Linked DNA regions of Callithrix jacchus. The protein of the gene in region 1 purifies or fractionates together with the protein of each later gene. This does not show direct contact. Links are inferred from orthologs where the notes say so. Each region holds a gene or a part of one and is shown in the gene's direction. Other genes may lie near its edges.

The links.
Region 2: the proteins of RACK1 (region 1) and HELZ purify together in Homo sapiens (affinity purification with mass spectrometry; 3 studies listed by BioGRID and IntAct, counting the BioPlex papers as one, with this or other methods). This does not show direct contact. The link is inferred for Callithrix jacchus from reciprocal best matches to the Homo sapiens genes RACK1 and HELZ.
Region 3: the proteins of RACK1 (region 1) and TNRC6C purify together in Homo sapiens (affinity purification with mass spectrometry; 3 studies listed by BioGRID and IntAct, counting the BioPlex papers as one, with this or other methods). This does not show direct contact. The link is inferred for Callithrix jacchus from reciprocal best matches to the Homo sapiens genes RACK1 and TNRC6C.
Region 4: the proteins of RACK1 (region 1) and RIOK3 purify together in Homo sapiens (affinity purification with mass spectrometry; 3 studies listed by BioGRID and IntAct, counting the BioPlex papers as one, with this or other methods). This does not show direct contact. The link is inferred for Callithrix jacchus from reciprocal best matches to the Homo sapiens genes RACK1 and RIOK3.
Region 5: the proteins of RACK1 (region 1) and LARP4 purify together in Homo sapiens (affinity purification with mass spectrometry; 3 studies listed by BioGRID and IntAct, counting the BioPlex papers as one, with this or other methods). This does not show direct contact. The link is inferred for Callithrix jacchus from reciprocal best matches to the Homo sapiens genes RACK1 and LARP4.
Region 6: the proteins of RACK1 (region 1) and HDLBP purify together in Homo sapiens (affinity purification with mass spectrometry; 3 studies listed by BioGRID and IntAct, with this or other methods). This does not show direct contact. The link is inferred for Callithrix jacchus from reciprocal best matches to the Homo sapiens genes RACK1 and HDLBP.
Region 7: the proteins of RACK1 (region 1) and SRC purify together in Homo sapiens (affinity purification with western blotting; 4 studies listed by BioGRID, with this or other methods). This does not show direct contact. The link is inferred for Callithrix jacchus from reciprocal best matches to the Homo sapiens genes RACK1 and SRC.

What each region holds. Positions count from the first base shown.
Region 1 is NC_133503.1:73,608,094-73,612,352, forward strand, and holds the start of RACK1 (small ribosomal subunit protein RACK1), read left to right. Parts: upstream 1-1,459; 5' UTR 1,460-1,562; coding exon 1,563-1,671; intron 1,672-1,948; exon of another isoform or gene 1,949-2,016; intron 2,017-3,188; coding exon 3,189-3,360; intron 3,361-3,636; exon of another isoform or gene 3,637-3,715; intron 3,716-3,877; coding exon 3,878-4,025; intron 4,026-4,259. UniProt on the Homo sapiens protein: Scaffolding protein involved in the recruitment, assembly and/or regulation of a variety of signaling molecules. Interacts with a wide variety of proteins and plays a role in many cellular processes.
Region 2 is NC_133506.1:122,191,352-122,194,851, forward strand, and holds part of HELZ (putative helicase with zinc finger domain), read left to right. Parts: intron 1-140; coding exon 141-711; intron 712-1,110; coding exon 1,111-1,345; intron 1,346-2,137; coding exon 2,138-2,654; intron 2,655-3,500. UniProt on the Homo sapiens protein: May act as a helicase that plays a role in RNA metabolism in multiple tissues and organs within the developing embryo.
Region 3 is NC_133506.1:133,834,958-133,838,457, forward strand, and holds part of TNRC6C (trinucleotide repeat-containing gene 6C protein), read left to right. Parts: intron 1-2,954; coding exon 2,955-3,500. UniProt on the Homo sapiens protein: Plays a role in RNA-mediated gene silencing by micro-RNAs (miRNAs). Required for miRNA-dependent translational repression of complementary mRNAs by argonaute family proteins.
Region 4 is NC_133514.1:66,559,388-66,562,887, forward strand, and holds part of RIOK3 (serine/threonine-protein kinase RIO3), read left to right. Parts: intron 1-1,571; coding exon 1,572-1,687; intron 1,688-2,289; coding exon 2,290-2,435; intron 2,436-2,527; coding exon 2,528-2,635; intron 2,636-2,839; coding exon 2,840-2,949; intron 2,950-3,500.
Region 5 is NC_133510.1:69,174,757-69,178,842, reverse strand, and holds the start of LARP4 (la-related protein 4), read left to right. Parts: upstream 1-1,286; 5' UTR 1,287-1,420; coding exon 1,421-1,630; intron 1,631-1,808; exon of another isoform or gene 1,809-1,884; intron 1,885-4,086. UniProt on the Homo sapiens protein: RNA binding protein that binds to the poly-A tract of mRNA molecules. Associates with the 40S ribosomal subunit and with polysomes. Plays a role in the regulation of mRNA translation.
Region 6 is NC_133507.1:162,508,499-162,511,998, reverse strand, and holds part of HDLBP (vigilin), read left to right. Parts: intron 1-1,523; coding exon 1,524-1,745; intron 1,746-1,816; coding exon 1,817-2,035; intron 2,036-2,826; coding exon 2,827-2,965; intron 2,966-3,500. UniProt on the Homo sapiens protein: Appears to play a role in cell sterol metabolism. It may function to protect cells from over-accumulation of cholesterol.
Region 7 is NC_133506.1:32,832,217-32,835,716, forward strand, and holds part of SRC (proto-oncogene tyrosine-protein kinase Src), read left to right. Parts: intron 1-45; coding exon 46-144; intron 145-304; coding exon 305-408; intron 409-2,280; coding exon 2,281-2,430; intron 2,431-3,500. UniProt on the Homo sapiens protein: Non-receptor protein tyrosine kinase which is activated following engagement of many different classes of cellular receptors including immune response receptors, integrins and other adhesion receptors, receptor protein tyrosine kinases, G protein-coupled receptors as well as cytokine receptors.

The sequences.
Region 1 (4,259 bases):
TTTACTCTGCCAGACGTTGTTCAGGGCATTTTACATTTGCTTCTTTATTTTCCACGCAACCATGTAATGTAGATACTAATATTATTTCCAATCTCATTTCACAGATAAATGGAAGTCGATAGATATTTCAAAAGGTATATACTTACGTATAATGCCCCCTTTATTTTGCATAGGTGTTGGTGGCTGCTATCATCCCGATCGGTGCCCCTGTTTGAAACTACTTGAATAGACACGCTGCCAATACTGTCTCTTATAGTCAGAGATGTGTGAGAATGGAAGGTATTACTTATTTACATTCCTGCAGTTGAGCGGAAAGCAGAAGAACAGCTAGGTACCCATGTCCCACCACTTCCCTGTCTGGGGCAGCACATCTTTCAGGGCTCACCTGAACCCCCAGACCCCTGGGCTTTTGGGTGTGGTGGCTGGGCTCAGAAAGAGCTTTCCACTAGGCATCCCCAGAAGTCAGAAATTTAAGGTCCTCCTTTGGGCATTTCCATTTCTGTGAGAGGTTCCCGCGTTTTGGCCTAGGCAGGAACAGATTGGCACTCTAGCAACACACAGGCCAACTTTTACTTTATTGTTTTAATATGTATGTATTTATTTGAGATGAAATGCCTAGGCTGGAGTACAGTGGCACGATCGCGGCTGATCGTAACCTCTGCCTCCCAGGTTCAAGGGATTTTCCTGCCTCAGCCTCCCAAATAGCTGGGATTACAGGCGCATGCCACCCCGCCTGGCTAATTTATTTATTTATTTGTTTGGTAAAGAGGTTGCATCATGTTAGCAGGCTAGTCTCGAACTTCTGACCTCAAGTGATCCACCCTCCTCGTCCTCCCAAAGTGGCTATGATTACCGGCATGAGCCACCATGCCTGCCCCAAACAGACCAATTTTTACTTCATCCAGAGTAATCCTCTCCTGCCTTAGTCCAGCGTGGACTAGGACTTACTGTGCATCAGAACAAAAACTTCTTGGGAGAACAGCCCTTGCGGGAGCACAGTTTTAAAGTTTATTTAGTTAATTTTTAAAACTTTAATACTATACTTTTAAAATTGCCTATCGCTACCCAAGAGAGTGAACTCAAAATTAAGCTCACCCGTGGTGAGTTCGCCCCTTCCGCGCACCAAGTGGAACAGGCGGAGCTCGGGCATGCCACACAGGGGCGGGGAAGCCGCTAGGCGGTCCTCATGGGAATGTGCCGTACATATAACCTCTTTCCCTTCACTTTCTACAGCACCCTTGAGAAGCCGATTTAAACACTTAAGTGTGCTTGTTTCAGAATGTATTTGTACAGCGCTTCCAGATTATGTTGTACGGAAGAGGGGACTGTGATGCGGTGCAATTTCCCTTCGCCTTTTGCAATACAGGGCGCCGCCATCTTGAACAGAGGCGTAGGAAAGGGCTCGCCATTTTGTTTGGTCGTGCGGGTATTTCCGGTTCCGGAGGGGGGTCGGCTCGCTCTCTTCCACGCAAGGCGGCGGCGGGAGAAGCTGTGGTGCTGTTTTCTCTGAACCATCCAGTGCCATCCTCGTCGGTGCAGTGGTACACGCGCTCTCCGCCGCCATGACTGAGCAGATGACTCTTCGTGGCACCCTCAAGGGCCACAACGGCTGGGTAACACAGATTGCTACTACTCCTCAGTTCCCGGACATGATCCTATCCGCCTCTCGAGGTACGGAGTAAGGTAGCTTGCAGGGCTAGGGGATTCGGCGTGTCGCGTGACAGCCCAGTGCCGCGCGACTTGGCGGGGACTGGCAGACTTTTCTACCCCACTGTGAGTTGGGGGTTGCAGACCCGAGCCTTGGCCTCAGCCCGGGCGAATCACTTCGCAGATGAGGACCTAGAGGTAGATCAGCTCGTAGCTGCTAGGAGGGCTGGAGAGTTGGGAACTTTTAAAATATTTTTTGCCTTCCCTTTCCTAATGTGGCCAGGGGGCCTACGGGCTGGACGGGGCGGTGATGATTCCAACATGCCATCTGAGTATCGGTGCTGAAATCCAGAGGCTGTTTCTGAGCTACCGCCCGGCCCAAGGCTCTTGGAGAGACGGGTGGACTCCAGAAGACTTCGTGGCTCAAGTCTCGGCCTACCCTTTTTCCCGTGGTTCTCCCCGTCCCCATCCCTATGTGCCTGACTGCATTTAGATGCTTCTTAAGCATTCCGTTCGCTCCTACACTATTAAGAATTGTCTGACTCTTGAATCATGCTTGTCTGTTAATAGTAAAATTTGTTGAGTGGAACCGGTTTCAGTAAAAGCATCCAATCCTGTAGTGCTTAAAGAGACTTTTCCAGCATTCGTTACTACGTTTCTGTCGGCCCTCAGAGGTAGGCATAGGAGGCCCCCAGCTACTCAGCAGCCACAGACTGCTGTGCGTTCGGTTGCAGAGAAGACCCGTCTCAGGAAAGGGGTGTCTATAATTTCTGGCACCTGGATTAAGTTTTCAGGATACAGGCTGAGGCGGGTGGATCACTTGAGGTCAGGAGTTCAAGACCAGCCTGGCCAACCTTGTCTATAGTTTAAAAATAAAAAAAAAAATAGTGGGACATGCTGGCGGGCACCTGTGATCCCAGCTACGGAGGCTGAGGCAGGAGAATCGCTTGAACCCAGGAGGTGGAGGTTGTGGTGAGCCGAGATCACTGGACTCCGACCTGGGCACAGGAAAAAAAAAAAAAAAAAGCCGGGTGAGGTGGCTCACACCTGTAATCCCAGCACTTTGGGAGGCTGAGGTGAGTGGATTGCCTGAGGTCAGGAGTTTGAGACCAACCTGGCCAACGTAGTGAAACCCTGTCTCTACTAAAAATACAAAAAGTTAGCGGGATGTGGTGGGTGCCTGTAATCCCAGCTACTAGGGAAGCTGAGGCAGGAGAATTGCTTCAACCCAGGAGGTGGAGGTTGCAGTAAGCTGGGATCCTGAGATCATGCCATTGCACTCCAGCCTGGGCAACAACAGTGAAACTTCATCCAAAAAAAAACGTTATCGGGGTACAGTTTAGCTCTACCTGCGTTTTTATTCTGGAATAGAGCCACTCAATCCTGGCCTAGTAACTGGTCTTGTAGCCTGCTGTTCTCATCCCTCCTTAAGTGTCCTTAGTTGTTAACCCACTGATGACCTTGACACTTAGTGAAATATCCAGTGTGTTAAGAAACGGGCTGCGGGTTCCTCACTGATTTCTCTGTTTTACCTCCTTTAGACAAGACCATCATCATGTGGAAACTGACCAGGGATGAGACCAACTATGGAATTCCACAGCGTGCTCTGCGAGGTCACTCCCACTTTGTTAGTGATGTGGTTATCTCCTCAGATGGCCAGTTTGCCCTCTCAGGCTCCTGGGATGGAACCCTGCGCCTCTGGGATCTCACAACGCAAGTAGCTGCTCACTTAGCTCTGGGGCATTGGGAAAAATCTGGGCAGAAATGAGGTGGATGCAATTGTCTGGTTTCCCAGGGGAGATACAGTCCATTTGGGAACTGGAAAGCAGAGCACACCTACAAAAGATGTTTGGTGGCCTCGCTCACTCAGTACTCAGCATTCTGAGGAGTTTGGTTGAACGTTTTTGCCAGGTGCAACAGTTTTGAGTAGACAACAGTTTGAACATGTTTTGCCTTGAAAGCTCAGCTAATTGGCAGAGGGAATTAGAGGGTCCTGGTGATGACAGACGACATTGTCAGCCAATCCCTATGGGGGAGTGAGGACATGTCCTGCAATTCTGACGGGATTCTCTGTCATATACTCAGTCAAGGGCTTGCTGTGATCAGAGCCATGTCCAGGGTTGTGTGAATGATGCAATGAGATAGAGACAAGACCTAGTATAGGAAATAAGTCTGACTGTTGAATGAGAATGTTTGCTAAGTCTGAGAATGACAAAGCCCTCCTTCTCAGGGGCACCACCACGAGGCGATTTGTGGGCCATACCAAGGATGTGCTGAGTGTGGCGTTCTCCTCTGACAACCGGCAGATTGTCTCTGGATCTCGAGATAAAACCATCAAGCTATGGAATACCCTGGGTGTGTGCAAATACACTGTCCAGGTAAAGTGAGGGCACGGTCAGAGCATGTGTCTACGGTTCTCTCCCACCCTTGTCTGGGCTCGGCTCATGCTTGTAATCCTGACCCTTTGGTAGTCCAAGGTGGGAGGTTTGCTTGAGGACAGGAGAGCAGCCTGGCCAACATACTGAGACCCCCATCTCTGAATTTTGTGTCTACTTTTTGTTGTTGTTGTTGTTCTGAGGCGAAGTTTCACTTGTTGCCCAGGCTGGGGCGCA
Region 2 (3,500 bases), on another chromosome or scaffold:
GTATATGATTGAGTGCCCAGCTTTCCTGCTAGAAGATATCAATGTATCATATCCTTTAGATGCGGTAGGGTTGGGGAAAGGTGGAGAGCTACTGAACTCAAATTTTCTGCAGTTTAAAAAGGCTTCTTCTTTTTTTCTAGGTTGATTTGGAATCAAATCCACAGAACAGAAGTCCTGAATCACGTCCTAGTGTTGTTTATCCCAGTACCAAATTTCCTCGCAAAGATAATCTCAACCCAAGACACATAAATCTTCCTCTTCCTGCCCCCCATGCACAGTATGCAATCCCTAATCGCCATTTTCATCCCCTTCCGCAGCTACCAAGACCACCCTTTCCAATTCCACAGCAGCACACCTTGTTAAATCAGCAGCAGAATAATTTGCCTGAACAACCAAATCAAATACCACCTCAGCCAAATCAGGTAGTCCAGCAGCAAAGTCAGTTGAATCAGCAGCCTCAGCAGCCGCCTCCTCAGCTTTCTCCTGCATATCAGGCAGGACCCAGCAATGCTTTTTTTAATAATGCAGTTGCTCATCGGCCACAGTCTCCTCCTGCAGAGGCTGTGATTCCAGAGCAGCAGCCCCCTCCCATGCTGCAAGAAGGCCACAGTCCTCTGAAAGCCATTGCACAGCCTGGCCCCATTCTTCCTTCGCATCTGAATAGCTTCATTGATGAGAATCCCCCAGGATTACCTTTGGGGGAGGCTTTAGGTAAGTTCTCCAATTATGGCCAGTTGTGAAAATTCAGAGCTTACTTACTAAAATGACATAGACTGTACAATATCAGTTTGGGTTAGGATTGAATCATTTCTTCAAATAATGCTGGCACAAAACCCCCCATTTAGTGTGATAATCAGAATCTAGTTCTAAATGCTGTATGACAGTAAGTATCCAGTGGATGTCAGCATCATCATTATGTAAGTGAGGAAGAGTTGTCATCAATTGTCACCGTAACTCTGATTTCTGGCAAATTTGGAAAACATTTACTTTCTACCGAAACCAAATTGTAGCTATTGCTTTGTCTTTGTGGAGAAAGTATGTTTGTAAAACTTTTAAAAAATAACTTGAAACCCCAAATTCATAAAAAGAAATTCACAAATATTTTTGCAGATCGTATACATGGGAGTGTGGCTCTGGAAACATTAAGGCAGCAGCAGGCACGGTTACAGCAGTGGAGTGAGCACCATGCCTTCCTCAGTCAGGGCAGTGTTCCATTCTCGCACCACCACCATCCCCACCTCCAGCATCTTCCTCAGCCCCCCCTGGGATTACATCAGCCGCCAGTGAGGGCAGACTGGAAGGTCACCAGCAGTGCCGAAGATGAAGTGGAAACCACATACTCAAGGTATTCCAGCCGACTAAAAATAGCTTCTGGAATGTGACCCCCTCACTGTTTTCTTTTTTGAATGTAGTCCTTTTAGCTTCAAGTTGGAATATTGCCTCAGAGAAATTGGATGCTGGCCTTACAGCATATGCTACAAAGTTCTCTTGATTGACTCTAAAATACAGAAAACTCATTTAGAAGTAACTCTTTTACAAATGTAGGCATGGATGATCTACTGTGGGTTGTAAATTAACTTGTTCCCTTGCTTTGTGTTTTCTTCTGCAAGAGAAACATACTGTCACTGTGAGTGGGTTTTTTTTATTTGGTAGTAATGCTTGCAGAGAATGAATAAAGACAGGAGTAAATTCGTGGTTAAAAGCTAAAAATTGTTAATTATTTTTCTGGTGGCACAGAATTCTACCTTCCCATAATTCCAGTTACATCTGAGTATTCGGTCCTGACTCTAAGCTTGTTTTTATGGCCAGTGTCACATGAATGCTATGAAGTGTTTCCAGATCCCTTCTGAATAACCATCATTGTGACCTTTTATAACTTGTAGCTGTCAAAGACATGTAGAGACAAGGACAGATGTTTTTAATGCGGTGGAACCAGAAAGAAATTAGGTAATTGAGCATATTCAATGCCTTCACCTCGGCATCTGTTGAGTGTTAGTGCTTACATCTGAGATGAATTAATGTCAGTTCTAGTTGTTAGTGTACTATGATGTTTGTTGAAAATACACATGTAGTTGACTAAGCTTTCCTTAGTGTGATGGAGCCTTTTGTTTTCTCCTCGTATTTTGTTTTCATGTAGGTTTCAAGACTTAATCAGAGAACTGTCTCATCGTGATCAAAGTGAAACACGGGAACTAGCTGAAATGCCACCACCTCAATCAAGACTTTTGCAATATAGACAAGTACAGACTAGAAGCCCACCAGCAGTCCCGTCTCCCCCATCCAGTACAGACCACAGTAGCCACTTTTCTAACTTTAATGATAACAGCAGAGACATTGAAGTAGCCAGCAACCCAGCATTTCCACAGCGCCTCCCTCCCCAGATATTCAGCTCGCCTTTCTCGTTGCCATCTGAACACCTTGCCCCCCCTCCCTTGAAATACCTGGCACCTGATGGAGCGTGGACTTTTGCTAACTTGCAACAGAATCACCTAATGGGGCCAGGTTTTCCCTATGGCCTACCTCCATTGCCTCACAGGCCACCGCAGAACCCTTTTGTACAAATACAGAATCATCAACATGCTATTGGTCAAGAGCCATTTCACCCATTGTCATCTCGAACAGTATCTTCTTCTTCGCTCCCTAGCTTAGAAGAGGTAAATGTCTTCTTACTTTCCTTTTGGGATTAGTTGATTGTGGAAAATATCAGTGTTTATTGATTTGATAATAGGAATGCACAGATCTTATTGAATTTAATAGTGTATTAAAGATCATCATTTCTTGGGAATTATTTTAATTGCCACCCTCCTATTGCTATTTCAGAGTTTGTAAAATGGGCACTATTGTTGAAACATGAAGCTCCTTGGAAGTCTTTTATTGCTGTTTAAAGAATATTGAACATCTAAGGACTCTATTTATTCAAGCAGCTTTGTCTTTTTTAATCTGAGGAAGTAGCTTTTAGTGATTCATCTTTTTACTTTAGTTTACATGCGTTAATTATAAATTTGTTAATTAGAGCTTTCCAAAGATGCTGGCTTTTCAGCCGGCACCAGTTCCAAGTGTTGTGCTCCTTCTCCTGTCGCTCAGCCTAGTACTTTGTTAGAGACACAGTGGTACTCTGATTCCCAAATAGCAGAATCTGCAGATTTTTAACATAAAAGTGATTCTGCTAAACTAAGCATTTCAAAGTAAACTCAATTTTATTTTAAAACACTTAGATATTTCTAAAGAGCATCTTTATGGACTTTTATTGATATGAAAAACTTAGTAATTCCAGGTCATAAAACTCCCGAAGCAGCACCATGTGGTGTAGTCTATAAAAATATCTAGCTGATCCCATTAAATTTGCAGTGATTAAAGATAAGCATCTGTAGCTGGTTGTAGTCATATCAGTCAGAGACATCTTAAATCAGAATGAACATTTCTAATTTTAATATATGAAAAATATTTTTTTGATACTGGCTTCATTTTGGCAGTTTCAGAATGATTTCTAAAGGCCATTA
Region 3 (3,500 bases), on another chromosome or scaffold:
ATTTTTTTTTTTTCATTTGAGATGGAGTCTCTGTCACCCAGGCTGGAGTGCAGTGGAGCGATCTCAGCTCACTGCAACCTCTAGCTCCCAGATTCAAGTGATTCTCCTGCCTCAGCCTCCTGAGTAGCTGGGGTTACAGGCATGCACCACCACACCCAGTTAATTTTTGTATTTTTAGTTGAGACGGGGTTTCACCATGTCAGCCAGGCTGGTCTCGAACTCCTGACCTCCAGAAAGCCACCCCTCGGCCTCCCAAAGTGCTGGGATTACAGTAAGGTGAGAGCCACAGTGCCCAGCCAGGAATTCTTTAATCTGATAACCATACATTATCTGTTCCCTGCCTGTGGTCTGTGTATCTTCTCCCTGCCTGTGGCCTGTGGCTTGGTTTTTTAGTTTCCATTATGTGATATCTTTTGTTATATAGATGTTTTTAATGTTAGCATAGTTGAATTTATCACCTGTTTATGTCTTATGTATTTCATGTCTTCTATAAGAAGATACAGTGTCCAAGATCATAGAGATGGTCTTCTATATTTCCTTCATAAGCTTTAAGAAGTTTCGCTTTTCCTAATTAGATCTTTATCTAGAATGTGTTTTTGTATATTATATAAGGGATCTACTTTCATTTCATGTGGCTAGACTGTTGTCCCACAGCATTTATTAGCCACCAGCTTGTAATGCTCTGCTTCTCTCAAACCTGTCATTATAACTGAGTGTGAACCTGTCAAACTGGGGGCTGAGCAACCCTCAAGTCCTCAAAGCAGACCGTGAACAAAGGGCAGATTCTTTCACAATGTGACTATTGTGGAATGGAACCAACAGTACTGTGTATTCAAATGGCACCTCACTTATGGAAAAGAATACATTGGTCAGGCAGGTTGTTAACCTCCTGCTTTCTGGGTTGCAGTGAGTGCTGTCCTAGTCTGGAGGCAGTCCGCTTTATGGCACAACCAAACAGATGGTAAAATGAAATGTGGCAATATTTGCTGGCAACAAGCCATAATCTTAGTATGTTAACTTCGTCTTATTTTCTATGTTAAATGAGGAATGGCTCATTTATCTCTTTAGTTAGTTATTGTATTAGTTTTTAGAGTATGTTTGAAACCAGATTGTCATAAACCAGGGTTATAGAGCCAACCCCTAATATTTGGCAGTGAGAAGAACTTAGTGGTTTTCTAACAGTTTCAATACTTAAAGTTTTCTGTTGCCTGGGCACAGTAGCTCACGCCTGTAATCCCAGCTGGGAGGCCGGTGCAGGCAGATCACCTGAGCTCAGGAGTTCCAGACCAGCCTGCCTAACATGGTGAAACCCTGTCTCTACTAAAAATACAAAAAATTAACCAGGTGTGGTGGCATACACCTGTAATCTCAGCTACTCTGGAGGCTGAGGCAGGAGAATCTCTTGAACCCAGGAGGTAGAGGTTGTAGTGAGCAGAGATTAGGCCACTGCACCCCAGCCCAGGCAACAGAGCAAGACTCTGTCTCAAAAAAAAAAAAAAAAATGCTGTTGCCTGTCTTCATTTTCCTTTGTAGTTTTCACCTGGAATTTTGTACCTACCTTGGAATCACCTAGACCATCATTCCATAATCATTACATTGCTCTTAAATCAGGCAATAAAAATCTCTCTTATGTCGATATTAGCTTTAGTATGGTCTTTCTAATGATAATGATAATTTTTTACATGTATACTCTTTTTCCTTTAGCTCTATCAAACTTTAAAAGAGAATTTATTTGGCAAATTCATGTTCTAACTGTCCATAATATTTTTCTTGTTAAAATAAATTTGAAGAGAACCTAATTTAAAAGATTCTAAAAGATAAGAAAATGTTTTATTGCAATTTAATTGTATATTGTAGTATTTAAAGAAACTCACCTGAGATTTCTAAATTATATATGTGAGTTGTTTGTTTGGGTTAAATTTTTTTAACATTTCTTTTACTTTATTTCTGATTGATAGATACTTTAAAAGTCTGCCGAAAAGTTGATTGGAATATAAGTTTAATTGCAATGTTGGAAGTACTCAAATAATTATTAAAGTCATAGGAAATAATATGCAGATCCCAAACAGTGGATTCTTTAAAAGGACCCAAAGAGTTATATAAATACTATAAGAAGATAGCATATAAAGTTATTCTAGGAATCTCCAAAGAAAAGGCTCTAAAGAAATAGAAAACAAGGATAGATGGAATCCTTGGAGACCCAAAAGATACCACCTATAGGGCTGAGATTCTTTTTCTTTCTTCTTTTTTCTTTTTTTTTAGCCATGTCCTTGAGTTGCAGATTTTTTTAATTAATGCACAGGAGACAACAATAAACTAAATTGTAGATAAGATCAGATAAAGTAGCATAAATCTAATTAAACATTTCTAATCCTTAGTATTCTTGATAAACATAAGAGAGCATTGTCTCATATGTCTTGTCTCCCTTTCCTTCCGTCACCTCTTCCCCCACCCCAAATATTGGTTCTGTTATGATTTCTGCAAGGCAATTTACAGTTTGTTTCTGCTGAAAGCCATGTTCTTCCTCTATATAATACTGTAATTAGAGGTCTTAAAGAGAACTACAAGTTCTGTTCAAAACTCCATATGAACTTACTGTCATTGCCAGTGTGTCGCAGTCTCTGTTTACAGGAGTTTCAAAGTCACGTGTCTTTCAGAGCTGCCTTTCCTACAGATGCTTTCAGAGATCCTTATGTGCTAATGTGCATTGTGAGTATTCTCCAAGGGGAATAATAGTATGGTGTAGTGGTCGGAATTGATACAATTTTAGAAACATTAACGCTTTTTTAAAATGGAAGAAGCTATTTAGCTTTTTTCTTTAAGTCGTTTTTTTAGTGTTTGTCATTCAGATTTGAAGACTTGAAATAAAGAGCTTCCCCAAAGACTAGTTAACAGTTGATTCATTGACAAATGGGTAGAAAATCTAATTTTGAATTTTGTTTCATCTTTTTCAGATCTCAGTCATAGTGGATTGGCAGATCATTATGAAAATTCCCACTGGGGACAGCAGCCTACTTACAGAAGTGAAGCCAACTGCAGCTGGGATAAAGTGATAATAGATAGGACTGACAAGGAGGCGTGGCCTTCCATCACAGGAACAGAGACTGAATCTGCCTCAGAATGTACTACAGACACTGACTCTGCCTCCAACTGTGGCTCAGAGAACAGTAGCATGGCTACAGGGAGTGCCCAGGGCAACTTCACTGGACATACCAAGAAGACAAATGGCAATAATGGCACCAATGGCGCACTCGTCCAAAGCCCTTCTAATCAGAGTGCCCTTGGAGCAGGAGGAGCGAACAGTAATGGAAGTGCAGCCAGAGTGTGGGGTGTAGCCACAGGCTCCAGCTCTGGCCTGGCTCACTGCTCTATCAGTGGTGGGGATGGAAAAATGGACACCATGATTGGAGATGGGAGAAGTCAGAATTGCTGGGGTGCTTCCAACTCCAATGCTGGCATTAATCTTAACCTTAATCCTAATGCCAACCCAGCTGCCTGGC
Region 4 (3,500 bases), on another chromosome or scaffold:
TAATCACATCTGCATTTTAGAACAATTGTGTTATGGTGTGGAGAATGGACACTAGCAAGATTGAGAGCAGAAGGATTCGTTAGGATGCGCTGAAAGTAACCCAGTGAATGGGATACCTTGGAGTAGAATTATGGAAGAGGGATGGAAAGAACTGGGCAAGTTCAGGAGATGCTTAGACATCTTAATATTAAAGGTCTTAATCACTAGGCTATAAAATATAATCATTTGCTGCTGCTGGGGAAAGCATCTTGCTCCCTCAAAAATTATGAATTTGAAATAAACCTACAGTTTGATTTCAAGAAAGCTGAGGCAGTGGTATGTCACTGAGGAAGGCCAGCTGGATCTGAGAGAATATTACTGTGCTGTGTTGGTATTGTTTTAAGAGCCTGTTTCTCAGCTTCTAAAGTTCAGAAATAAAATTTTAGGGCTGGGTATGGTGGCTCACACCTGTAATCCCAGGATTTTGGAAGGCTGAGGCAGGCAGATCACCTGAGGTTAGGAATTCGATACCAGCCTGGACAACATGGCAAAACCCTATCTGTACTAAAAATACAAAAATTAGTGGACATGGTAGCTCACACCTGTAATCCCAACTACTCAGGAGGCTAAGGCAGGAGATTTGCTTAAACCTGGGAAGATGGAGGTTGCAGTGAGCCAAGATCACACCACAGCACTTCAGCCTGGGTGACAGAGGAGACTCTGTCTCCAAAAAAAAGGAAAGAGATAAAATAAAAACTAAAATTTTTGTTGATTGTTCTTGCTTTTTGTGTGTATATGTATGGCAGGGGGTCTCACTCTGTCACCCAGGCTGGAGTGCAGTGGCGTAATCTTGGCTCACTGCAACCTTAACCTGCTAGGGTGATTCTCATGCCTCAGTCTCCTGAGTAACTGGGACTACAGGCACGCACCACCACACCCAGCTAATTTTTTTGTATTTTTGGTAGATATGGGGTTTCACCATGTTGGCCAGGCTGATCTAGAACTCCTGACCTCAGTGATCTGCCTGTGTTGGCCTCCCGAAATGCTAGGATTACAGGCCTGAGCCACCACGCCTGGCCTGTTTTTGTTTTTAGCACATTCTAAGATGTCTTGAGAAGGGCTGACATAATTTGTATACTTCGATGGCTCAGCATTAAAATGAGATATAACTTTTCATTAGGCTTCAAATCGTGCTAGTTGGTATAGTCTACTCCTGTAAGACAATCTACTTGGGAAATCAGATTATAAACAGAAAGTAGCTTGGTGAGCAAGGAATTGGAACAAGAGGAATTACATTAACGTATTGGCTGCTGGGGGGATGCTATAAAAACATGATGCTTCCCCTCAGCTTTAAGGATATACCCTCTTAGCAGGCTAGAAAGTGCTTTGGGATGTTTTAGTTTATATTTATCCTTGAATAAATTTGACCTGGGAGATATTTTTCCTTTTGAGACGATTTCTGCAAAGAGCTAATTGTTCATTTTTGGTTTTTAACTACATAGTTTAATTCTCAAAGATAACCTTCTTTGTAAAATGAGAGGTACTATATTTCATTATGATTAATTGAGCTGTTCTTTTTTCACTTTTAATAGTGTCCGTGGGCTATCCCTCAAAATACAATATCTTGTTCTTTGGCTGATGTAATGAGTGAACAGCTGGCCAAAGAATTGCAGTTAGAAGAAGAAGCTGCTGTTTTTCCTGAAGTTGCGTAAGTAAAATTCACAAAACACTTTATGTAGCAACTTATTATAGCAAACTTTTAGGATCTGATGAGTAATTGTCATGACAAGTGGTTAGGAAAAAGCAGCACAGAAGAAAGCACCATGCTGAGAGTCCACTGATATTTGAATTTTGGTCCAGAGTCTGCATTGGTTTTCACTGTTATCTTGGACAAACCACTGTTTCTGTGGGTTTTGGTTATTTCATGTTAATGCCACAGTTGAACTAGATGAGGTACAGATTTAATCAAGTGTTTATAGTTTATATTTTCATGAATATGTATCTGTTCTTTCATTATGGATAAATGAAACATCCAGACTTTCATTCAGAACAAATGAATTCTAGATCTCAGTTTGGATTTTATTATAGAACCTTTAGCTTTCTCTCCCAGCTCTCTTAATCCAAGTTGGTACTCCCACAGGTGCATGCCATTGGTCTTAAGGCTAGCTGTGCAGGAGAAGATGATGGTTTGGTAGAGTTCTTTCCCATTGTTCAATTTTAACGTGGAAAAGGCAGCTCTTACTCTCATAATTGGCAACCTCTGTTAACTTAAGCACATTATATTAGTATATATTGCCTTATTTTGAATAGTGTTGCTGAAGGACCATTTATTACTGGAGAAAACATTGATACTTCCAGTGACCTTATGCTGGCTCAGATGCTACAGATGGAATTTGACAGAGAATATGACGCACAGCTTAGGCGTGAAGAAAAAAAATTCAATGGAGATAGCAAAGGTACTATAACCTTATTGTGACAACTCCATTGAGTGTAGAAAACACTCATAATGTGCTCCTAAGTAAATTTTCAACTATTTTTGCTTTTTAAGTTTCCATTTCCTTTGAAAATTATCGAAAAGTGCATCCTTATGAAGACAGCGATAGCTCTGAAGATGAGGTTGACTGGCAGGATACTCGTGATGATCCCTACAGACCAGGTACCAAAGCTTTTATTTTCTGGGGGCAGCAGAATAGAGGTATAGGAAGACTAATTTTTCCAATGAACTCTTTTAGTTTTCTATTTTTCTTTGAATCTCATTTGGTAATTTACTCTTAGATTCAAATGGCTTTTCAGACAACATTGAATGCAGCAATATAGTCTTTGCTATTTTTATATACCTGGCTTGTTTTAATGCCTTTAGCAAAACCGGTTCCCACTCCCAAAAAGGGCTTTATTGGAAAAGGAAAAGATATCACCACCAAACATGACGAAGTAGTATGTGGGAGAAAGAATACAGCAAGAATGGAAAATGTAAGTTACAGAAAGTATCTATCTCTGAATTTAGAGTTTTGTTTGAATATGTTTTAAAAACAGGACTGATTCTAAATATAATATCTTAGATTTCTAAAAATACCTTTCTTCCTTTCTAAAGATATTTTAAGATAATAATACAGCAATATCATGGAAACTGAGACATTAATGAAAATACAAAGTACCTCAGAATAAAATTCTGTAGCAGCATTGAAAAACTAATTTGACGCACATTGATTCTAAAATTAATAGTTATTATAAAAATAACATTTATTCTTCAGCATATTTCTATAAAATAGCATACCTACCCAAAAAAACAGAACAGTGGTGATGGGGGAATATGAATGGGAGGGAGAAATATTTTTCACCATATCACCTTTTGTGCTTTTTGAATTTATTATCTTGTGCCTGAACTACCTGTGCGAAATCAGAAGTAATGTGTAATTTTTAAAAATAGCATTCTAGGCCGAGCTCACGCCTATAATCCCAGCACTTTGAGAGGCCGAGGCAGGTGAATCACGAGTTCAGGAGTTTGAGACCAGGCTGGCTAA
Region 5 (4,086 bases), on another chromosome or scaffold:
CGCCTGTAATCCAAGCACTTTGGAGGCCAAGGTGGGCAGATCACCTGAGATCGGGAGTTCAAGACCAGCCTGACCAACATAGTGAAACCCCGTCTTTATAAAAAAAGAAAAAATTATAATTTTAAAAATTAATTTTGTCTTTATTGTATTTCATTTGAATTAATGGCAGAACATTAATGAAGAGGCTATTCAGACTAAGTGTTATCACTAGTAGCATATATATATATATATATTTTTTTTTTTTTGGAGGCAGAGTCTTGCTCTGTCACCGAGGCTGGAGTGCAGTGGCTCCATCTCTGCTCACTGCAACCTCCGCCTACCGGGTTCAAGCAATTCTCTGCCTCAGCCTCCGCCACCATGCCCAGCTAATTTTTGTATTTTCAGTAGAGACAGGGGTTTCATCATCTTGGCCAGGCTGGTTTTGAACTCCTGACCTCGTGATCCACCCGCCTCGGTCTTCCAAAGTACCGGGATTACAGGCACCAGCCATGTTGCTGGGTCTATTGGGAGTATATTAAGCAGAGATATGGGTAACTAATTCAAGTAAGCCCGGGGCAAAGTTCTTTAAAGGTGTGTTTAAGGGAGCCAGGTGGGGTGGCTCACGCCTATAATCTCAGCACTTTGGGAGGCCTAGGTGGGCAGATCACTAGGTCAGGAGATCGAGACCATCCTGGGCAACATGGTGAAACACTGTCTTTAAGAAAAGTTTAAAAAAAGAAGGTGTGCTTAAGGGAAACCCAACCTCCTAGAGGGCTCCTTCAACTGTGAAATGGGAATGATAATAGTAGTATTTATTGCATAAAATTGTTTTAAGATTAATTAACATAAAATGCTTAGTATAGTGCCAAACGCAATGTAAGCATTTAATATACAGCAGTACGGTAGAGGCTAATAATATATTAACTACTCTCATAGTTTTTTTTTTTCTTGTCTACTTTTTTTCTGTTCAGTGCACTTTGACAAAGTCGTATTTTTAAAATCAAATCTAGATTTTGAACTATGAAAACTGCGGAATTATGAGTGCTGTGTAGCTATCTGGCAAGTGATAAAATATATCATTAAGATTTTTACACATCTCCGTGCCACAGAATGGCGTCTCCTTCTAATCGTCCCCCACCGCGGACAGATGATAGTACCTCCCACACTGCTGCTGGAAAAGATAGTGCAAAAGTTGAGCGCGCCGAGAGATCTCTTTTCTCCCGGAAACAATTTTTCCCTAGACCCGGAAGCAGTTGTTGTTTTAAGGGCGGTGAAACTGGGCGGGTCGGGCCGCAGCGGCTGACGGCGGGGGAGGAGCCGGGTCCACTGCCGGGTGGAGGGGCAAGGCGAGTGTGTGTCCTTATCCTAGCAATTGGGGCGCGGGCCTGTGAGCCAGTTGGAGTTGCGGCGGCGGGAACGATTGGGCCGAGCGGAGGACGACATGTTGCTTTTCGTGGAGGTGAGTGGGTTTGCTAGTCTCGTCCTGCCCTTAGGAGAGCAGGAGTGTGGAGGCGCCGGCCGGTCCCACCGCCATGTGACTTTGCGGGCCGTACACGCCGCGGAACCGGCAGACAGGCTGACACAGCACCTGGGCCGAGCAGGCCTGCAGCTCCCCTCTGCGCGCTCACCACACTCTAGGAAGCTGTGGGAGGTGAGGCCCGTCGTGGAGGAGAATTGAAGGAGAAGAACGGAGGGCTGGTCTGGTGTGGCGTGAGGATCAGAGGAAGGGGAGAGTGTCCCATATGGATCTCCTAAAGGAGGCAGCACAGGGGGTTGGGGGCGGAGTCTGAGGGAGGAGAGGGTAATCAGGTGGGCACGTTCCGGGGGCCGAGTGCGGCTTCGCGGGGCCCTCTGGGAGGGAGGCGAGCAACATGTGGGGACGCGGAGGGAGGAAGGTGAAATGCGGTAAGTGTTTTGGAAATAAAATTGAAAACTTCCTTTGAGCCACCTCCACCAAATTCTGTCCGGGCCAGGTCCCTAGGTCTCTGGAACATTCTATGGGTGAAAGCGAGTTACTTTGAGTCGAGGAAAAGCCAATAGAAGACTTGAAAGGCACCGCTTTGACCTTTTGTAAAAGTTACTCAAGAAGCAGCTGCGTGATGAGGGGTTGGTTCTATGAGCCGATTAAAAGCCCTTTACAGGGAAAATTGCAAGAATGAGAGAAATTTCTTCCGGGAAAAGCCGTTTTTGTAATGTTATTTGAACCACGAGATACTTTTATTACTTTAACTAGAACGTCTGCTGTCGGCCTATTTTAGTTTTCAAGATAGAGTTGGATACCTGCCTTACAGAAATACGAAATTTAATTTTCCTTAATTCTGTTCTCTTGTGTGCAGTGAGCGTCAGCTGACTGCCTGGCTAATGCTTTGAGTAGATTCCAGATCATATTGTTCTTACATTGTGAAAACGTAAAACCAGCAAAGCTGCAACTTCGCAGCTTGGCATTAGTTAACTATGCCCATAAAAAGAATCATTTCAATGAGGGAAGAAATTTACAGGTTGTATAATGGATCTAGGAGCCGGGGTCAGCTTATGGCAGACTTTTTTTTTTTCCGGGTTGTGGGAAAATCTTACTTCGTAATATTTCAACGTAAAGTTAAGTAAATGATTTTACGGTTTTTTTTTCTTTAACTTTGTGTCGCCGATAAGTTTGAGAAATTTAAATTAGTTTTTAAAAAGACTACTACCTTAGAGTATATCTAACATAACATTCATTGGAACATTCTAGGGAAATCATGAAAAGATTTAAAATTACTAAAACTCATTCTGTTTACTGTTTTTTGTCCTCATTGTTGTTTTCCTTAGGCAGAATAAGAAATCAGATAAGATTTTTAGCCATGCCAGCCAGTTTGTTTTAGGACTGTTATGCTATGCAGATACCACAGGTATTTGTGTATGCGTTTTGCTGGGCAGACAAAAGATTGTGAAGTTTATACAGACAGGAATTCCACGACAAACTTTTGACTTACAAATTGATTCCTTTGGCTTTACTAAAATGTAGGTTTTAATAGCCTCCATTTGTTATTTACGCTAGGGCCTGTCCTGTCTCTAAAACAATATTTACAATGTTTTACAGATGACAAAACTAAGGCCCAGAGGTTAAAGTAACTTTACTTAGTAAAAGTAAAGTAGTGTAACTGGGATTTGGATCCAGGCCATGCTGATGTCAAATCATGGACAGGCTGTTAGCAATTCAGGCCTGTTCAACTCCCCAGTTTAGACAAACTATACCATATGTCTTGCCAAACTATTATTTAAAGTTGTATCTCATTTTCTTTGTGAATCATTATGTCATTCTTATATGAGTTTTATTGAAAATTAACTGTCTTTAAATATTTGGGGCTGAATATGTGGTATCAGTCAAAAACAACATGTTGGTCATTTGGTGTTGTGTTAACTATTATTTGATCTCTATAACCTCATGATAGAGGAATTGTTCTCAGTGAGAGAACCAAAGCTCAGAAATTAGATGTCTAAGGTCATTCAAGTGTAAATAATGTAGGGACTAAAGTCTGAAGTCTGGCTTCTAGTACATAAATTTCTGGCTCCAAAATTATTTTTGCATTTTCCTGTAAGTCAAAGGTTCTTAATCTAGGTTTTTGGATAGAATTGAGGAAGTACCTGAGGTTGGTTGAGGAAAATATTTGCCTATTTTCACTAACTGCTAACTGAAACCTAAATGGAAACAAAGTGAAAATTCTTTAAATGTCAATGGCAGCAACAGTGTCTGTGACATTGTCACCAGGATAAATCACTTTTTTTCATATATTATAGTTTTTGCAGATATCTTGAAATATTCATGCTCGGTACTTGCTGTATGTAAAAATAATATTTACTATATTGCTATATTAGACATTTTAAAATATTTTGGCAACTGTGTTTCAATATAATTTGCTTACTTTGTGATTCTCTATATTTTAGAAATTTAAAAAAACTCTGAGAAGAGATCCATAGATTAATTGGACTACTAAAGAGTTCTGTGTCACAAAGGAGGTTAAGAGCGGTTTTACTAAACCAGCTTGCTTATGGATCATCTTTACCAGGGTTAATCTGAGATCTGTGGGTCCTCTGCAGTTGTGTTCAATACCTTTTACTTATGTGCATTTT
Region 6 (3,500 bases), on another chromosome or scaffold:
TGGGATTACAGGTGTGAGCCACTGCCACCGCGCCCGGCCCAAGCCCTCTTAACTTTGGCTGTTCTGTATCCCTGGCTGAGTCAGCCTGTCCGTTTGTAGGAAAACGACATTTTCATGTTTTGGTTGTGATTGTGGTGAATCTGAAGATGAGGCTGCTGAGGATTGACAGCTCAGCAGTTTTGACTCTGAGTCATGTCTTCATTTTCTTCAGGTCTGTGATTCTTCATTGTTTTCATTTTGTCATACAGATCCTGCACACTTTTATGTTCTGCTACTGTCCTTTTCGTGCTGTTGCAAATGGCGCTTTTTCCCATTTCTGGTTGTTAGTGTGTGGAGGAGTGTTGTGAGTGTTGTATGCCCACCTCCGTGAGACTGCTCAATGAGGCCCACGTCTTAGTGCTAGGCACTCTTTTGTGGATTCTTACGTGATCAGTCACGTGGTCTGTGAACAGTTAGATTTCTCTCTGATCTGGAGCCTCGTATTTCTGTCTTTCTGTTGTTAGGTTGCATTAGACTGACTTTCTGTCTTTAGGTTTGGCCAGTCTTGCATTTCTGAGGTAACCCTGGGTTTGGTAGGTTGTCCTTTACCGTATTGCTAGATTGGATTTGCCTTTTGATTGGTTTTTGACTAATGCTGCTGTTGGTGGATGTGTCTGAAGAGCAGCAGAGTCTTTGGGTGGTATTTGGTGAAACCTGCACCTAAAATATAGCAAAGTTGTCATTTAATATTTTTCTGCCAGCACGTGTTTCTTTGGTGCTCTGGCTTGCGGGCCAGGTCTTGGGTCCGGAGAACAGCAGGAGCTCCCCTGGTGGATCTGAGTCACGTAGAGCAGCGCGTTGCACTGTGTCCCCTGGAGAAGTTGCCAGAGGCAGTGGTGTCCACAGGTCACAGTGTCCAGGGCCTTTTCAGGACCCTTCGTTTCTTGGTGCCACACGAGGGTGTCATGCTCTCCGAGGCCTCTGAGGACTGGTCTCTAACTGTAGCCTTGGGTGGCTTCCGTCCCTCTGAGTTGAGCTTGCTTGAGCCTGGGAGCGGCTGGTTTTGTGGGGCTGATCTGTAGCAGTCATGAGAGCAAAGGAAGCCTGGTCCAGGTGTGTGGGCTTGGTCTAGAAGTGGTTAGAAGAGCAGGAGCATAGTGTAGGCTCTCGGGTGGCTTGTTCCTGCTCTTCTGGGCACACCCCACTCTGCCCACACATCACCCAGTGCATTGCTCCCTCTGCCCCCTACAGATGAAAAGTGGCTTGGGGAAGCTTGCTCAGTGCTGCTTCCAAGTGGCAGGACCAGGGTCTAAGCCTGTGTGGTCATCAGCACCAGCATCTGATCGTTGTGGAAGAGAGGTGTGCGTGCAGTCTGTCTGTCGGATTCGGCGAGGCGTGCCAGCCCCATTTTGGGGGTGCTGCAACATCAGGGCACTGGTGACAGTGTAGGGGGCCCAGCACTGCTGTCCTCCAGGCCCTCTTGTCTCCTCACTGTGGCCCAGGCATGTGGTGTCTGACTAACAGAGTGGGGTTGCCTTCTGCAGCAAACCAAGAGTTTCACTGTTGACATCCGCGCCAAGCCGGAGTACCACAAATTCCTCATTGGCAAGGGGGGCGGCAAAATCCGCAAGGTGCGTGACAGCACTGGAGCACGCGTCATCTTCCCTGCGGCCGAGGACAAGGACCAGGACCTGATCACCATCATCGGAAAGGAGGACGCCGTCCGGGAGGCACAGAAGGAGCTGGAGGCCTTGATCCAAAACCTGGTAGGGAGCGGGCCTCGGCTGCCGGCTCTGCTGGGGCTGGGATGGGGTGGCTTATCTTCATCTCTTGTCAGGATAATGTGGTGGAAGACTACATGCTGGTGGACCCCAGGCACCACCGCCACTTCGTCATCCGAAGAGGCCAGGTCTTGCGGGAGATTGCTGAAGAGTACGGTGGCGTGATGGTCAGCTTCCCACGCTCTGGCACACAGAGCGACAAAGTCGCCCTCAAGGGCGCCAAGGACTGTGTGGAGGCAGCCAAGAGGCGCATTCAGGAGATCATTGAGGACCTGGTAGGCATTCGGGTGTTCGGGGAGGGGTCTAAGAGGAAAAAGAGAGACAGAGAAAATGGTCTGTGTAAGGGGTCAGAAAACATGGAAATGCAGTCTGTGTAAGGGGTCAGCTCTCTTGTCCCCTCTGTGAAGGAAAGAAAATCGACTGAGGGCATCCACGTGAATCCATGGGGAAGTCACGAGAAGATGTGTTTCTTTTCTAAAGCAGCCTTTAGAGAGTGTCCCCTCCATGCCCCTCTGGGCTGCTCCCCTGCCAGGGCCTGGATGCCTTTTCTCTGATAATCAAGTCTGATGCCTCCTCATAGAGTCAGAGGCCACCACAGAAGTTCCCACTCTTTTGGCTGAATCGGCCACCCTGCAGGGACACATTTCAGAAGGAGGCCCACCCTTACCCTGGCCAACATGGTAAAACGCCGTCTCTACTAAAAATACAAAAATTGGTTGGGCATGATGGCGTGCACCTGTAGTCCCAGGTACTCGAGAGGCTGAGGCAGGAGAATCACTTGAACCCAGGAGAGGCAGGTTGCAGTGAGCCAAGATCGCACCACTGCACTCCAGCCTGGCGACAGAAGGAGACTCCATCTCCAAACAAAAAAAAATGAGGCCGCCCACCCTCTTGGACATGCCCTAGTACCTTCCCTCCTCCCTGCACCTGGAGCCCTGGACTCACCTCAGAACGGAAGTGTCTGTACCGAGTGGCTGTGGTGGACAGGAAGGAAGTGCTGAGACTTCGTACAGGCCCCGAGGGATTTAACCTTTGCTCTTTCTTTTCTTTGTGTACCTCCCTCCAGGAAGCTCAGGTGACATTAGAATGTGCTATACCCCAGAAATTCCATCGATCTGTCATGGGCCCCAAAGGTTCCAGAATCCAGCAGATTACTCGGGATTTCAGTGTTCAAATTAAGTTCCCAGACAGAGAGGAGAACCCAGGTGGGTCCCCTTTAGTCATCTTCTGCTTGTCGATGGTGGTGCTTTTCACGTGAGAGGCAGAGCTGTCACACTTACTGGTGAGGCTCTTTCCTCTCTCTGCTGGAAAACCATCTGTGTATTCGGGGGGCTTCCAGAGGTTCAGGGTCATCCTCTGGGCTTTAAAAGATGGACCATGTCAGTTATTGACAGAGTGACCAGGTGCCCTTCATATGTCGGCAAGTTGCGAGGTGACGAGTAACGTGCCACCTCATCCTCGGGGCGCCCCAAGTTCAACCCCAGTATTTCTCATGACATGTTTGGATCACATGAACCCCATCAGAGAGCTTCCTTCTCCACACCTCCCGTCACTCTGGGGTGTCCCCTGTGAGGCAGGCAGCTGTAGCCTCTGGCCGGCCGGAGGGCACCATCCAAGTGACTGGCAGCTCTTGTAGGAGGGCATTTTGCTCCCAGTACCCTGCTTGCCCCCAGCTCTGCTCAGTCACCTGGTGGTGAGGAGGTGTGGGATGTGGTGGGCGGCCTCTCCCCGGCTTGCTCT
Region 7 (3,500 bases), on another chromosome or scaffold:
TGATGGCTCCCTTCTCCTTTCTTTCCTCCTTTTGTCCCTGCTCAGAGAGGGAGACTGGTGGCTGGCCCACTCGCTCAGCACGGGACAGACAGGCTACATCCCCAGCAACTACGTGGCACCCTCCGACTCCATCCAGGCTGAAGAGTAAGTACCGTCTCTGGCTGCCTCTGCCCGTCGTCCTGGGTGCTGCCCATGCAGAGCGCCTCTCCTGGGCTGCCCAGCGCCCCAGACGTATCTGAGGAGAGGTGTTGTGAGTGGCAGAAGCCTGGACCACCAACACCATCCTCTGTCTTCCCACCCCTAGGTGGTATTTTGGCAAGATCACCAGGCGGGAGTCAGAGCGGCTACTGCTCAACGCGGAGAACCCGAGGGGGACATTCCTAGTGCGGGAAAGTGAGACCACGAAAGGTATGCATGCTCCTGCTGGCCAGTGGACACTGAGTTTTCTGTGAGTGGTTTGGGCTAGGTGTTGCAGAATGAGCAGGAGTTGGGCTTGAGGAGTAGGGAGAGAGGGGCCTTCCAGAAGGAGGTAATCAAAGTCAGGGAGGTGCCTCTGAGGAACGCCAAGTAACCCACGATGGCCAGATGGCCAGAGAAAGATGAGGCTTAGCTCTCTGGCCTCAGTATCCTCAGATGAAAGCTGAGCATAGGTTGTCTGGAGATCTGAGTGTCACACGACAGCAGGCTCGTTCTCAGGGTAGGTGCTGCTGCAATGAGCCCCCCTTCTTCTCCTTCCCCGGGGTCACTGGGGCCCACACTGGGTGCTGGGGCCTGGCTTTGCCCTACCCCTCACCACAGTCCTGGTCCCTGCCCCTCTCCTGTCCCTCCCTCAAGCCAGAGAATGAAGACCAGCCCCTTTCTCTCCAGCCCCTCTGAAAGTGGGTTGCAGGCGCCTGTCACCATGGCAACCAGGCTGAGCTGCTTCCTGTGGGCCTGGGGCTCAGCGGGAGGTGGGGAGCAGAGCATCCATGTCGAGCTGAGCCGTGCATTTACAAGCGGTTGTGGGGCTGTGTGTGTGCATGCTGTGTGTACATCTGGGTGTGTGTGTGTGTGTGTGTGTGTGTGTGTGGATGTGGGGCAGAATTGTCTGTGTGTTGCCGTGTGGGAATGGACTGTTGTGGTTTGTCTGGTGCCTGAGGGCCTGGGGAGCGTGTATCTGTGTGAGCCTGTGGTTGCTGTGCCCGGCCATGCCTGTTCGTGTGTGCACATGTGGCCAGGGGTGGCTTCATCCTCAGGCCTGTGGTGTCTACATGCACTAGCCTGGCCATCGGTAGAAAGTCACAGTTGTCCAAGGCAGGCTTTGGTCCTCAGGTGTGGGTTTGAGCCCCAGCCCTGTATCTGGCTTGCTGGGGGACCCCAGGCTAGCCACTGTCCCTCTCTGGACCTCATTTCTTCTGTACACTGCGATTGTAACCTTTGCCTGAAGATTGCAGAGAGGGAGGTCCATGGGCTGCGACAGCTGGTCTTTCTCCCATGCCTGTATACCTCCTGGAGAGGCTCCCGAGAAGGCCCGTCCCTGGCCGCTGGAGCCTCCGCCCCACTTCCAGGGCTCAGCCTTGTTCCCTGATGCCTCTCGGGCGTCTCTTGGCCTCTCGTTCTACCCAGGCCTGCTGGATGGGAGGAAACTTTTGGGCCAAAAGCTTTTCTAGGCTCAAGGGAAAGAGGGGAGGCACCAGAGCTGGCCCCAATTGACTCAGGCAGGCCTCAGGCCATGCCCAGCCCGTGGTCTCTTGCCCACCATGGCCAAAGCCTCTGCAACCACCCCCTCTCGCCTGAACCTTGGCCTGCGTTCAGAAAGTGGGGGGAGCATGGACAGTGACCCTGTGGGCCCACCCAGAGAGGGAAAGCAGTTAGGCCAGGGCACACAGCCACGGGGAGCCACTCACAGGCTCCCAGCAAAGAGTTACTGAGTGCCTGCTGAGTACCAGGCCCTTTAATATGTGGATGCACTGAATCTTCCCAGCCACCCTGGGAGCACTCACGTTGTGCAGAGGGGAAACTGAGCCCAGAGAGGACTGGCCACCCCTCTAAGTCCCACAGCTAGATGTGCACTGGGATTTGAGGTCTTGCCGGGGCTAAGGGGGCGTGCAGGATGTTCCGGTCAAGTACCCCTTGGGTCTCTTGGTCCTACCTCTGTGGCTGCCCTGGGTCGGGCTGCTGAGAGACAGGGAGGGCTGGGGGCTCAACTGCCTGGGCCTCCCTTCCCTCTGGACTCAGGCACAGAATGGTGCCCTGTGGGGGAGAGGGCGTGGTGGTCACGGCTCCTCTCCCTGCCTGCAGGTGCCTACTGCCTCTCAGTGTCCGACTTCGACAACGCCAAGGGCCTCAACGTGAAGCACTACAAGATCCGCAAGCTGGACAGCGGCGGCTTCTATATTACCTCCCGCACCCAGTTCAACAGTCTGCAGCAGCTGGTGGCCTACTACTCCAGTGAGCGCAGCGGCCTCGGCCTCGGAGGGAGGGCGGCCAGGCAGGACCTCAGCTGCAGACCCCAGGGAGGGGCCTTGGAGCCTGGAAGGCCGCTCTTCTGTTAGCCTAAAAGGCCTGGTTTCCTGCTCCCCTCCCTACTTTTTCCTCCCCCTTCCCTTCCTCCCTCCTCCTTTTCTCTCCTTTCCTCTTTCTCTCCTTTCCCCACTGCCCCCCTCCACCCTGCCCCCCTCCTCTCTGTCCCCTCCTCCTTGTTCCCCTCTCTCCTGGCTCCACGCGCCATCCCACTCCCTGTCTTTTTCTGCAGCTGGCTGGTGGGAAGGGGGTTGCCCAGAGGAGCCCCAGAGAGCGGGAAGGGAGGGGACAGAGGCTAGTGTCGTTTGTCTCTGTAGCCCAGGACCGGTCTGAACTGGCTGCTGGGAGAGGAGGAGGGGGTGCCCAGATCAATTGTACAAAGAGCGAGAGAGCGGCAGAGGGAGCTCGTGGGGCTTGCATGCGGGTGAGGGCTTGGGTGTGGGCACTGCCGTGCTTTGACCCACCCACCTGGGCGTCTGGAGCTGACCGAGTGTCAGGGGCCTGTGGGTGCCCGTGGGCCCATGTGTCTGTGGCACGCTTGGCCTCTGTGTGCAGGTGTTGGTCTACTCCACACCCCCAGCCGCCTCTTCCTCTCAGCTGGGCCTCCTGACTTCCTCCCAATCATCCACCACTCTCTGTCCCTTAAGTCACCACTGTGTGCTTCGTTCTGAATCCCATTCCCTCAGATCAGAACCCTCCAGGGGCTGTCTTGGAATCTTGGATTAAAGACTCCTGCCGCCCCTGCACGGTCTAATCCCGACTGCCTTTCTGCCTCCGCTGGTGCTACCCTTCCTCCCCTCTCCCTGGCCTCTGCTTCTCCAGTCCTGCAGCTCTTCTTTTCTCAGAACCTTTGCTTTGGCTGTGGCCTGCCTAGAGGGCTCTTCCCTACTTAACCCCTCACTCTCCTGCCCATCCAAGTGCAGTTGCTGCTTCCTCGAGGAAGCCTCCCAGGACTCCTGCTGTTTCGAGAACAGCTCTCCTCCAGTCACATTCACATC